Arabidopsis thaliana: one gene and its partners. The protein of the gene in region 3 interacts with the protein of the main gene of each other region in a pairwise test. Each region holds a gene or a part of one and is shown on either strand. Other genes may lie near its edges. The genes, in order: AT3G15440, ABF2 and SHY2.

Region 1 (3,123 bases), on a different chromosome or scaffold from region 3:
GAAATTTGCTAAGAAAATAAAGGCAAAAACAAGAAGAAAGATGCATGAACTCTCAAACCCATTGGAGCCTGATGAATTTACAGACATGTGGAACGATGAATGATAAAAGTCGACCAAAGTTTCTTTTTTGCTATTGTAAACTTCTAAATTCACAAAATCAACACAGTTTTGTCTTTACCACTGCTTTCTTCCCTCCCTCTTATCTATCAAAGAGTGAGATTGCGAATTTATCACACAGTTGTCTAAGTAAAGACTGCTATGTCACGAAGAAGCAAATCAATTTTATTTCTTTATCGTCTTCATAAGGCTATATTTACATAAACAAGAGTACATAAAAAGAAAACGCAACAAAGAAGCAAGAGTTAACGAAACTAGAAGCAAAATCAACGAGAATTAGCCAGCGCCCAGTTAGCTTCACTTCCTCTTCTAGGGATACTATTGATCTTAGAACAAGCATCAACTTTGAAACTAGCTCCACAAAGAACACCTTCACTATCAATCCTCGGCATTGCCTTCATCATATTAGTCGGATGGTCAAAGCTCTTAAGCCCTGTCTCACTATGAAACATACATCCTGCAATAACAAAAACACAAAACACACATCAAGATCTAAACTCAAAAGTATGTTTCTTTCTTTATAGGGCTAATGAAAAACTTAAGTTTTGGTTTACCATTAGGGAAAGGAGCAAACGATTTAGCACAGCCTTGCTTTATGATCTGAATATCATCAGACATTACAACAGATCCGTCTCCAGAAATTCCCCAGTAAAGACTCTCTCCTCCATCAGAACTCAGAGCTGAGAAAACAGAGGAAGTTTGAGTATCGTAGACAACGAAAGCGAAGCTTCCCTCAAGACCTCTAAGAACTTGATCTGCTGGGTAAGGACCACGATCACGAAGTGTTCGATAAGCTTCGATCACAAACATTGCCTCGTTTGAGTTCTTCCCAGATAAACCGTATTGTCGATTCAATGTACAGAGATTATTCAATCTCCCTAGAAACATACAGTAGATCCCATCTAGTCCACAGAACAACCTGAGCAAAACAACAAAACCATTATGAATCTATGAATTGGATTTAGAGATTTGACTTGTATATATGTGTTTTATGTATATTAGTATATACCTTTGACGAAGAGAGGTTTCTTGGCGAGCGTAAGCTAAGACGGCGGAGTCGCCGAAGTTCATAGAGAAAGCATTGTTTTGGTGATGAGAGAGGAAGTCGGAGAGAGTTTCGCCGGGAAGTTTAGGAGTTTTGCCGGAGAAATGAGAAGCCGGACTGTTGAGTTCTTCCGGTGGGTGAGCAAAAGCTTTCTGAAATATTGCCAACATTTTCGTTTTCTTTGTCTTTGATTAATCCAATGCTTGAAATGTGTTATGTTTTTGTTGAAGACAATGAGGGGTTTTATAAAGGTACGAGATTATTATTACACGAGATGCTGACTTGGATTTTAAGATAAGACTGACATGTCTTACGTGTTCTTATCCGTTTCTTTTTAGACAAAATTATTCTGTAGTTAATCTTTTTTTTTAAAGTGTCTGGTAGGTAAATAAACAAATTGTGAATCCAATGATGATTAGATATTTAATCTGACGAGTAAATCTTTTTGGAATGATATGATTTTTTAAACGTGCCACGATAGAAAAGTAGTATGTTTTTTTTTTGTCATGTTGGAAAAGTGGTAGGATATTTTTTGACAGCGAAATAGTTAAGTGAAATATGATTTTGAATATATGAGATATTTTATTAATACAATCATATAAGATATTTTAAATATCGGAATATCTATTTATGGTTCATCGAACCTTAACGATATGTATGAATGTTAACTTTTGTAGTTATGATCAATCTAATTTAATGAAGAATTCCTATTGTAACTATTTCCTAAAATCTCGTATTCAATCCCAACAATTACTCATTCCTGGTTACAATTTTCCTTTCACACAAATATTTTTTATACACTCTCATAGCTTGAAAAACCTAACTCTCTCTTAACTTCTTTTTTTCCCATCATTGCATAGAGATTATGGAGTGTATTGTGGATGATGTATCGGATAGTACATGTATGGTGACGCCAATCTATTATTCGAAAGAAACAACTCAAGATCGTCAGACTTTTTTGTTTGATTTTGAAGTTGTCTACACAAAAGTGCCTGAGCCAAATAGTGATGGAGAATCTGACTACATGTCCAGTAAGGTTAAAACAAGGACTACAAATCAACTTCAAAGATATGGTCGAGACGAGTTCATTGGTCAAGATGAAGAACAAATCAAAGCCACAATCTACGAAATCCTCAATGATGTTGGTGTTCCTCCGTATCTAGGGATCATGAAAACATTTGCTGAAGAAATTCAAAGCATATTGAATTCACCTCTGGAGAAATTGGAGAAGATAAAAGTAAAGATTGAAGTTGTTGCACACATGTTTCCTGAAGATGATGAGATCGATGTTGAGTGATTTATTATTCTTTTGCATCTTGGTCGTTACAATGATTCCTTCATTTGCTTCTAGGTTGTTTTCAGTTTTTTACTTTTACATTCTATAATGTTCTAAAGACTAAGATATTTTGCTAAGTCTTGAGTGGATCTACTATCACCAAGAGTTAAGGTATTTGTTATTATGTAGTTGAAGTTGTAAAACTTCTTAGATTAATTAACTCATGTCATAATTCTCTGCACTAAGGTGTCTGGAAATATCTTCTATTACTCTCACAACTTGAAGAAATCAAACAGATACAAATCAATACAAGATACACTAACCGGTAAATCCAATCTCAATCCGGTTCATACAAACATGGTTGTTTATCTATACCTTGGATCAACAAAGCCGGCTACGAGAACGGCCACAATGGAGAAAGATTTCGGTAGGTTCTAAGCAGCCACGGAGTGAGTCGTGACCAAGCTGAGCTCTTTCGTTATCTCCAAACCCAAAAATGCGACCACGTTGAGTGACCACAATGGTGTGATACAAACCGGTGCTAACTTGAGAGACACGGTGTGGTTTCAGACACTCCAATACTCTTGGCCTAAGAACTTTGTCTGAAACTCCTCTGTCCGGGAACCCAAGGCTTCCAAACCCCATCCACCCAAATCCATATAGTAATCCACCTTCCACCAAAACA
Region 2 (5,212 bases), about 16 Mb from region 3:
AGATATGAGGAATTAGAACCATCACAAGTCTTTAATATGTTCATTATCTTGAAATCTTTAGCGTTTATATGATGATATCTGTTACATTGAACTTATGTGCAGAGGTAGAGAGAACCAGTACACACTTGTGAGCAGGGCTTTAATATTCTATTAGCAACCAGTTAAAACCATTTTTTGTGTGCAAAGCAACCAGTTAAAACATAAGTATATATAATTTTGTGTTAAGAGAATATTCTTAAAGAATTTTTCCAAGCAAATTCAAAACTTATTAAACTATATGCTAGAGTCAATGATGTACTTTAGCAGAAAAAAAAAAAACACTACTATAATTAGTGAATTGAGAGTATTATTGTCCTTGTATTTAATTTTTAAACGTAAAAAATAATAAGATGGGTTTGATAATGTGAAGGTGAGCCCAACTAAAAACTAGAGACGTGGACCAATGGAAAAAAAGTAAGAAGACTCTTTGGTTTCTGACATCTTCCCCCACAAAACACAAAGTCGATGTGAAAGCAAATAATAGTGTTCGTCCACGTTACATCGACAATCAACGGCTGAGATTTGGTTTCATTATGTGTCTGTCTCATCGAGGTTGGTTCGTGTTTTTGTTTTTGTTGGTTGTGACAGTAATGGAGCGACACGTTATTTCGTTACAACTACTTTTTTCTTTTTTAAAACTTTTGTAATCAGAGGACTAAAGAAGTAAGTGGACCGATCATAAATAACAAACTCAGGTGATTGATTATTGGACCTTTGTCACTTCAGGATGGAGAAGCGTTTTCAATTCACCGGTGAAATAAAATATTAGCTGATTTTTTTAAAAAGAATTAAGGTTTTGAATGGATATTGTGGATAAATCGGATTAAAATTTGGAATTATACCAATATTTTCTTTTTTAACGAACATTTTGATTGGTAAACTTTAATCCATTTTGATATGTAAACTTTCTGAGAAGTTTTAGGACTATACCCATATATAATACCAATTTTTTATGTAAGAACTATATGAATTATTTTGTATATAGAGTTTTTTTTTCTTTTTGTTTTGTATATACCACTACAAATTATAATTTTGTGAATGATAAATAAGAAGTTGTCTAATCTACAAACCCATTTTGTTCTCCAACCACCGCAACCATGTGTACCTAAACAAATAAATATTAATTGGTTAATTAGCACAATTGTTAGAGTGAAATTATTATCTCGAATCCGATATAAAGAATTTGTCACTATTCTTTCCAAAATTTCCGATATTCAAAGTGTTGAGATCAATAGTAAAAATTTGAATCCGTCCAAATTGATTTAAATACAATTTTAAAGTTTACATACCCAAAAATCATTTGGTTTCTCTCAAAATATTTAAATATTTAGATATTACTTGGAAATCTGGGTAGTAACAATTTGGATTTGTCCAAGCAACATTTGGATCTAGATATCATAATTTCCAAGTCAACATATCCAAATTCGCCAGATATAATATTAATATATATATATATATATGTAAAATACAATATTTTCATTTCTTTTCTAGTATATAATACTTTATTTTCATAAACATAATCCAATCTTAATTTTACAATTTTAAAGACGTTTTAACATTTTAATTTATTGTGTAGATACAATGATTTTTGGACGGAATTCCAAAGTGAAAACAACTTATTTTAGGAACCTAAAGTAAATTAAAACAACATAAATCCTGAAAAGGAAAACAATTAGTAAGTGAAATTAGTAAAATAAAAACGAAGAGGGAAAGTGACGCAAAATACAAAGATACAGAGTATATACCATTTTATTAAAATAATTAGCAAAAGTAGTATTTATTCAAGATTGTTAGGAGCCAGAGAGACACTTGGCTCACCAGACAAACTACCTAATCACCCAAACGAAGAACCAAACATTTTGAAATTTTTTGGGAAAATTACAAAGCACACGAATTTAGCAAAAAGGTAATAGATTTTTCTTCTCTTTGTGTGTATAGAAGAAACTGTGGTTTTTGTTCATCTTCTTTTAATTCTTTCGATTTATGTCCACACTTAATTTTTGGATAAAATTACTAATTGTGCCTAATACTTGTCATAAACGCATTCATATTCTCCTGTTGGTTTAATCTGTTTTTATCCATTTGACTATTAAAGTTTTGAAATCTGTTAGTGTTTTTGAATTGGGTTTTGCAGATTTCTTGATTTTTATTTATAGATTAGGGTTCTGATACTAAAGTTTGGATTTTTAAACTAAAGTTTGGATTTTTTTTTGTATTCATGGTTCAGATCCAGTTATTAGGTGGAAGCAGATTTTGTAGAAAAATGGATGGTAGTATGAATTTGGGGAATGAGCCACCAGGAGATGGTGGTGGAGGTGGAGGGTTGACTAGACAAGGTTCGATATACTCGTTGACGTTTGATGAGTTTCAGAGCAGTGTAGGGAAAGATTTTGGGTCAATGAACATGGATGAGTTGTTAAAGAATATATGGAGTGCTGAAGAAACACAAGCCATGGCTAGTGGTGTGGTTCCAGTTCTTGGTGGAGGTCAAGAGGGTTTGCAGCTGCAGAGGCAAGGCTCGTTGACTCTGCCTCGAACGCTTAGTCAGAAGACGGTTGATCAAGTTTGGAAAGATCTATCCAAAGTTGGAAGTAGTGGAGTAGGGGGAAGTAACTTGTCTCAGGTGGCTCAGGCTCAGAGTCAGAGTCAGAGTCAGAGGCAGCAAACATTAGGTGAAGTAACTTTGGAGGAGTTTTTGGTTCGTGCTGGTGTTGTGAGAGAGGAAGCTCAGGTTGCTGCAAGAGCTCAGATTGCTGAGAACAATAAAGGCGGTTACTTTGGTAATGATGCCAACACAGGTTTCTCTGTCGAGTTTCAGCAGCCTTCTCCACGAGTTGTTGCCGCTGGTGTAATGGGAAATCTTGGTGCAGAGACTGCAAATTCTTTGCAGGTTCAAGGTTCTAGTTTGCCTCTGAATGTGAATGGAGCTAGAACAACATACCAGCAATCGCAACAGCAACAGCCAATCATGCCTAAGCAGCCTGGTTTTGGTTATGGAACACAAATGGGTCAGCTTAATAGTCCTGGGATAAGAGGTGGTGGTCTTGTGGGACTTGGAGATCAGTCTTTAACGAACAATGTGGGCTTTGTCCAAGGTGCTTCTGCTGCAATTCCTGGAGCTTTAGGCGTTGGTGCTGTGTCGCCTGTTACGCCATTGTCATCAGAAGGGATAGGGAAGAGTAATGGTGATTCTTCATCACTCTCTCCGTCTCCTTACATGTTTAATGGTGGTGTGAGAGGTAGAAAGAGTGGCACTGTGGAGAAAGTTGTAGAGAGAAGGCAAAGGAGAATGATAAAGAACCGAGAATCAGCTGCAAGGTCCCGGGCCAGGAAACAGGTTAATCTCTTCATCACCATCTATCTATGTACTCTTGATTGTGTTATAAGCCAAAAGATATGTAAAGTAAATTGGTTAGCTTATCTTGTAGTTAAGTTCTTTAACCACAATGAAGCGTTGAATTCAAAGCGTAAAGTGTCTTGTGTGAAGTAGTGTAGTAAACAACTAAACAGAATTATTGGGACTTGAAATCAGTACTTGTGGCTGAATGAATCTCGCAAACAAATATGAACCTTCTGGTTTTGGTGTATATACATGTTGCCCATCCGCAGATATTCACGGCAGACCAAACAATATACTGGAATGTAATTTGCTAATGTCATGAGGTGGCTCAGAGTTTAAATGAGTAGTGAGGGTTCATCGTCAAAACCTGAGTAGTGGCGACATGGTTTTTCTTTTGGGGCAAGGTAATGGGTAATTGGTGCTCCCAAAAACCTGTTACATCTGACATGTACTATGACCAAACTGTTGAGTTCTACATTTGAGGGTCTAAATGTTTTGAATGGCACTCTAGTCTTTATCTCATAAGCTTCTCAGTCGTGCTTGTTTTGGTTCATAGGCTTACACCGTGGAGCTTGAAGCTGAAGTTGCAAAGTTAAAGGAAGAGAATGACGAGTTACAACGAAAGCAGGTAATCACAAAACCATGTCTCAGCATCACAGTTGCTCATACGTTACATTCATTTCTCATTGTACGCCTCATGTTTTACAGGCAAGGATCATGGAAATGCAAAAGAATCAGGTAATAATTCTTATGCCAATGCAACAACACTGGAATCTCTAAACTGCACATTTCATAGCTGAACTTGTAAACTTGGTTGTTTGTTTCCGTGCTATGTATAAAACAGGAGACGGAGATGAGGAATCTTCTGCAAGGAGGTCCAAAGAAAAAGCTGAGGAGGACAGAGTCGGGACCTTGGTGAATCAATCAATGCCATCATACTTAGTTTCTGTAGATAAATGACATCCCACTTAGGTGTTTTAGTTGAATTAGACTTAATAGAGAAGAGCTTTCATCGTTTATATTGTAAGCTCTCTCCATATATGTTATGTTTTTTACATACACAGGATCATCAGAATCTCTTTTGCTTTATTTAGACCAAGAATTTTGTGTGTGTTTCTCGTTGTTGTTTGTCGTTGTCGCTATTAAACCTCAAAATGTACTTTCTTGATCTTGGAGTTACCAATTTTGAAGAATTGAAGTGTTGTTTGGTTTCTCTGAGTGCCAAAACTATGACCTGTGCCAACACAGCATTCTAGCCTTCTAGGCAAGCGACTATAACCCAAACCGAACCGAACCTTGGTCATTTCGGACGGATGAGGTAACCGAGTCGGTTTGATGTGGTTCACTGAACCGACAGTTACACAAAGTAAACATTTGTACTGAAATTTATGTATGTATCAAAGTAAAATTCCTCTAAATTCGATAACCAAACCAAACGGGATTAATCATTTGCATGGAGAATAAATACATAACCGAACCAATTTAACCGATGACCGAATCGAACCAAAACCGACTTATTCGGTTTGATTTTTTAGTTACTAAAAATGAAAGTGTTCACTCTCATTCTCTCCCACTTCGTCGCTCAAATTCTCCCTAATTTCACCTGCAAAACCCTAGTTTTTCGTTGATTCGTTTCGTCTCCGGTGTAAAATCAAATACTATCTTTAGGTATTTCGTCTTACCCAACTCTATCTTTCCATGTTTTCCGAGGACAAAATAAAAGGTTAATTATTCATGACTAACGTCTGTAATGGGTTTTATTGTGATGTATGTTTGAAATTTGGAACATTTCGATATAGCATTGTGTTACTAATGCTTTTGAATTTGTTAGAA
Region 3 (3,736 bases):
TTTGCGTTAACTGCTACTATAGTAAATTCGTGATTGTTACTTAATGGTCTAATTTATCCTTTAAAAAACCAAAACAAATCATTTTTGTGTGATTAGTTGTTGTAGCTAAGACATTGTCATTTTATTTTCAGTATAAGTTACTAAATTCGTTTATATATATAATTAAATTGCAAAGTATGCTACAGTATGACATATAATGAGTGCAGAAAAATAAAAGATGATGCCATAATACTATAGTGAATGAGAAAAGCCTGCGGATATTCATGCCTAATAAAAGTCTTTAACTCCTTATGGATAAGATATATATGGGAATACAAAACATTTAATTTATATTTATTTTTTATCTTACGTTCCACTGACGGATTATAAATAAATTTTTTAGGAAAAACTTTATATTTGTTTGTGTGTGCAAACTTTATATTACATATATTAGTCATCAAATGCTTCTATATATTGTGACCAATTCACAAATAATGATATAAATATATATATATTCCCATCAGTTTTTCTTGGTATAAATACAATTAATTCAATTCAAACTTATGACCTGTTCTGTCAAGAAAACGAATCTAGTAATTTATGACTGAACCAAGAAGAGAATGTTTCTCACCGTACAGAAGAAATCAATGCGTGATGAGTACTGAGTAGCTGTTAGCAGTCACCTCTAATTGTATGAATTTATTTTGTTGAAATATGTTCGTTAATCGTTAGTACTTGTTGAAAGTCACTACGTACGTATATATGTAGATAAAAAAAAAAAAAAAATTCTTTTAGGATTATTGTTACACGTATAATGTAAAGTTATAACATAAGTTCTTAACAACTCTTTGCATAGTACCGATTCGGACTTCGATTTCGAAAGCCATGCATGAGAAAACCAAAAAATGGAGCCAAAACTTAGATCCGGTTCAATTCGAGTAGGTTATGTCAAAGACGTAAACATCTACAATAGGAGCTCCATATAAGTAGAATACAACCAATGCCACGCTGTAACATAAACAAAGACAGCGAGAATCTGTTAAAGATCTCTCAGGTTCCAAAACAAAACTACAAGACCCCATTATGATGTTACTGACATTTAACTAAAGCCTTGTGCTAGTTGATCCTTAAGGAAGATGTCCTGTCGTGATGCTCAGTTTTATTTCAAATTCATATATACGTGTGTGTGTGTGTGTGGTGATCATGATTAATAGGTTAGAGACAGAGAGACAAAAGTTGTGGGCTTTAACAAACCCCAGTAAAGAACAATAAGTAATTTTGTCACGTAGGCTCTGTTTTTGGCTCTTCAACACCCAAAGTACCTGTTTTTTGAAGATGTGAGACATAAATTATTACTTATGATCTCAAGTCAATAAACTCATCAAATCTGAACTACCCACAATCCAAACATTGAACACTAGCTACCTTTACATATAGAGTTAATTAACCATCCATCTATTGAGAAAACGAGTAAAATATGTATTCGGTTGTTGTTCTTGGTAAGAAAAGATTATGAGCTTACGATCCGAAATTTCTTGGTTGTGATAAGTTATTAATGGGAGATAGAGAGAGGTGATATGCCCATATGGCATACCACATGTGGTGGGGGATTCGAAGATTTGATCTGGACCGTCTATCACAAGAAAGAAAGATGAAAATATTTTGTTTTTGGGTTTGGACAGATGGGAGAAAAAGAAAGTGTCCCCACAAATGTCCCCAAGAAGATGGGACACACTTTTGCCTCAAAGTTGCTGTTACTGCTACCGACAAGCTTAGCTTTTTTTCCTTTGTCCTTAATTCAGAAAACAGTTTCTTCTCTCTCTACCAGTATCTATCTTTATTCTCCTTTAACTTGTATAAAACACTCAGCTTCCTCGAAGCCTCTCATCTTCATCATCAGCAGCTTCTCTATATCTCTCCTCTCTTTCAAGGATAATAACCAAAAGCTTTTCTTTTTATCTTCTCCTGCAATTCTTGAAGAAATGGATGAGTTTGTTAACCTCAAGGAAACAGAGCTGAGGCTGGGATTACCGGGAACAGATAATGTATGTGAAGCAAAAGAGAGAGTTTCTTGCTGTAATAACAACAATAAGAGAGTACTATCAACTGATACTGAGAAGGAGATTGAATCATCATCAAGGAAAACTGAAACATCCCCTCCTCGAAAGTAAGTTAAACTCACACAAAAGTCTCTGAATCTGTAGTGGTGGAGAATTCAGTTGATTGACCGTGTTTCTTCCTTTTTGCAGGGCTCAGATTGTTGGATGGCCACCAGTTAGATCTTACAGGAAGAACAACATTCAGAGTAAGAAGAATGAATCTGAGCATGAGGGTCAAGGAATCTATGTGAAAGTAAGTATGGATGGTGCACCATACTTGAGGAAAATAGATCTGAGTTGTTACAAAGGATACTCAGAGTTGCTTAAAGCTTTAGAAGTGATGTTCAAATTCTCTGTGGGAGAGTACTTTGAGAGAGATGGATATAAAGGTTCAGACTTTGTGCCTACTTATGAAGACAAAGATGGTGATTGGATGCTCATTGGTGATGTTCCATGGGAGTAAGTCTTCTTTCATATACCTGTCTGAAAACAATTTCCACAAAATCAAAAATCAGAAACAACAATTTTGTAAGTGTTCTTATGGGTTCTGTTTGTTGTTGCAGGATGTTCATATGTACGTGCAAGAGACTAAGGATCATGAAAGGATCAGAAGCCAAAGGTTTAGGCTGTGGTGTATGAGATATATCTTCAAGAAATCTAACAGAGACACAAAAGAACTTGAAGAAAAATAGAGTTTCTTTTGGTTCAGAGAAATCTCTGTCTGTGCTTGGGTTGTCGGGTTTCTCGGGCAAGATCTATGTTCATTGGATTGAATCCAATTCATAGCCTTTATTTACCTCATCGGTAAAATTCAAATGTAAACATGCTTAATGGTCTTAAGCATATGAAACTGGAACCTAATTACATTTTGTTTCAGAAACAGGGCAAAAGGTTGTCCTTAAATCTTTGGTTATGTGTATTACATTAATTAAAGTGTTATGAAGATTGAAGAGTTGTTTTTATATTTGTAGCAATTCTGTTTTGCGTTCTCATTGATCAAAGAGATTTTCAAGCAATACCCATTTTCTATTTTGGTTCACTAGTTCTTAGATCATATTATTGATGGTCGAGGTTGGATTACTCCCATTAATTAATACAATTCGATCAAAGCCAACATGAACATAAATCAATAGAAACAAAAAAAAAACTTATCTTATATGAGAAATACGTTTTGCCCAAAGCTTAGGGTTCATTTCATCAGCCAAAAACAACAGACACCTACCTCTCTGCTTTCATGGCAACATATATATACGCATTAGATCCAATCAGAAGATGTAAGACTAGACAGGCCGTAGTAATGAGTGAAGCTTTTGGAATTGATGAACTGTGTTACGAGCTTCTTCGTTTTCTCAGACATGGCGGGAGAGACCTTGTTCACGCCTGAAACAGCAAAACGAATAATATATAATCAGCTTGTAAAATGCAGATTCTTTAGTTATAGAGTTTGAAAGATTGATGCAAATGTACCAATAAGACTTTCAACAAAAGTACGAAACAGAATTCCAGGAAAGAGTCGAGAGAAAACTCACCTGTAGCTTCTTCTTCTTAGGCCTTCTCTTCCTCTTGGGTTTGTGAGCATCAGAATTAGAACTCAAGTTGCTACTCTGACTTGTATGCGAACTAGTGGCAGCATGTGAAGACTGGCTTCTTCTATGTGA

The links.
Region 1: the proteins of SHY2 (region 3) and AT3G15440 interact in a two-hybrid assay, tested with the Arabidopsis thaliana proteins (one study listed by BioGRID).
Region 2: the proteins of SHY2 (region 3) and ABF2 interact in a two-hybrid assay, tested with the Arabidopsis thaliana proteins (one study listed by BioGRID).

What each region holds. Positions count from the first base shown.
Region 1 is NC_003074.8:5,211,259-5,214,381, reverse strand, and holds AT3G15440 (RING/U-box protein), read left to right. Parts: upstream 1-1,875; 5' UTR 1,876-2,027; coding exon 2,028-2,459; 3' UTR 2,460-2,587; downstream 2,588-3,123. Other genes in the region: AT3G15460 (Ribosomal RNA processing Brix domain protein), read left to right, coding at 1-103; AT3G15450 (aluminum induced protein with YGL and LRDR motifs), read right to left, coding at 384-574, 672-1,036, 1,127-1,332; AT3G15430 (Regulator of chromosome condensation (RCC1) family protein), read right to left, coding at 2,820-3,123.
Region 2 is NC_003070.9:17,164,506-17,169,717, reverse strand, and holds ABF2 (abscisic acid responsive elements-binding factor 2), read left to right. Parts: upstream 1-1,828; 5' UTR 1,829-1,945; intron 1,946-1,976; exon of another isoform or gene 1,977-2,236; 5' UTR 2,237-2,257; coding exon 2,258-3,376; coding exon of another isoform or gene 3,377-3,529; exon of another isoform or gene 3,530-3,648; coding exon of another isoform or gene 3,649-3,693; exon of another isoform or gene 3,694-3,935; coding exon 3,936-4,007; intron 4,008-4,087; coding exon 4,088-4,117; intron 4,118-4,223; coding exon 4,224-4,298; 3' UTR 4,299-4,560; downstream 4,561-5,212. UniProt on the Arabidopsis thaliana protein: Involved in ABA and stress responses and acts as a positive component of glucose signal transduction. Functions as a transcriptional activator in the ABA-inducible expression of rd29B.
Region 3 is NC_003070.9:1,127,545-1,131,280, reverse strand, and holds SHY2 (AUX/IAA transcriptional regulator family protein), read left to right. Parts: upstream 1-1,591; 5' UTR 1,592-1,661; coding exon 1,662-2,146; intron 2,147-2,228; coding exon 2,229-2,537; exon of another isoform or gene 2,538-2,641; coding exon 2,642-2,717; 3' UTR 2,718-3,132; downstream 3,133-3,736. Other genes in the region: AT1G04230 (rRNA-processing EFG1-like protein (DUF2361)), read right to left, coding at 3,453-3,458, 3,608-3,736. UniProt on the Arabidopsis thaliana protein: Aux/IAA proteins are short-lived transcriptional factors that function as repressors of early auxin response genes at low auxin concentrations.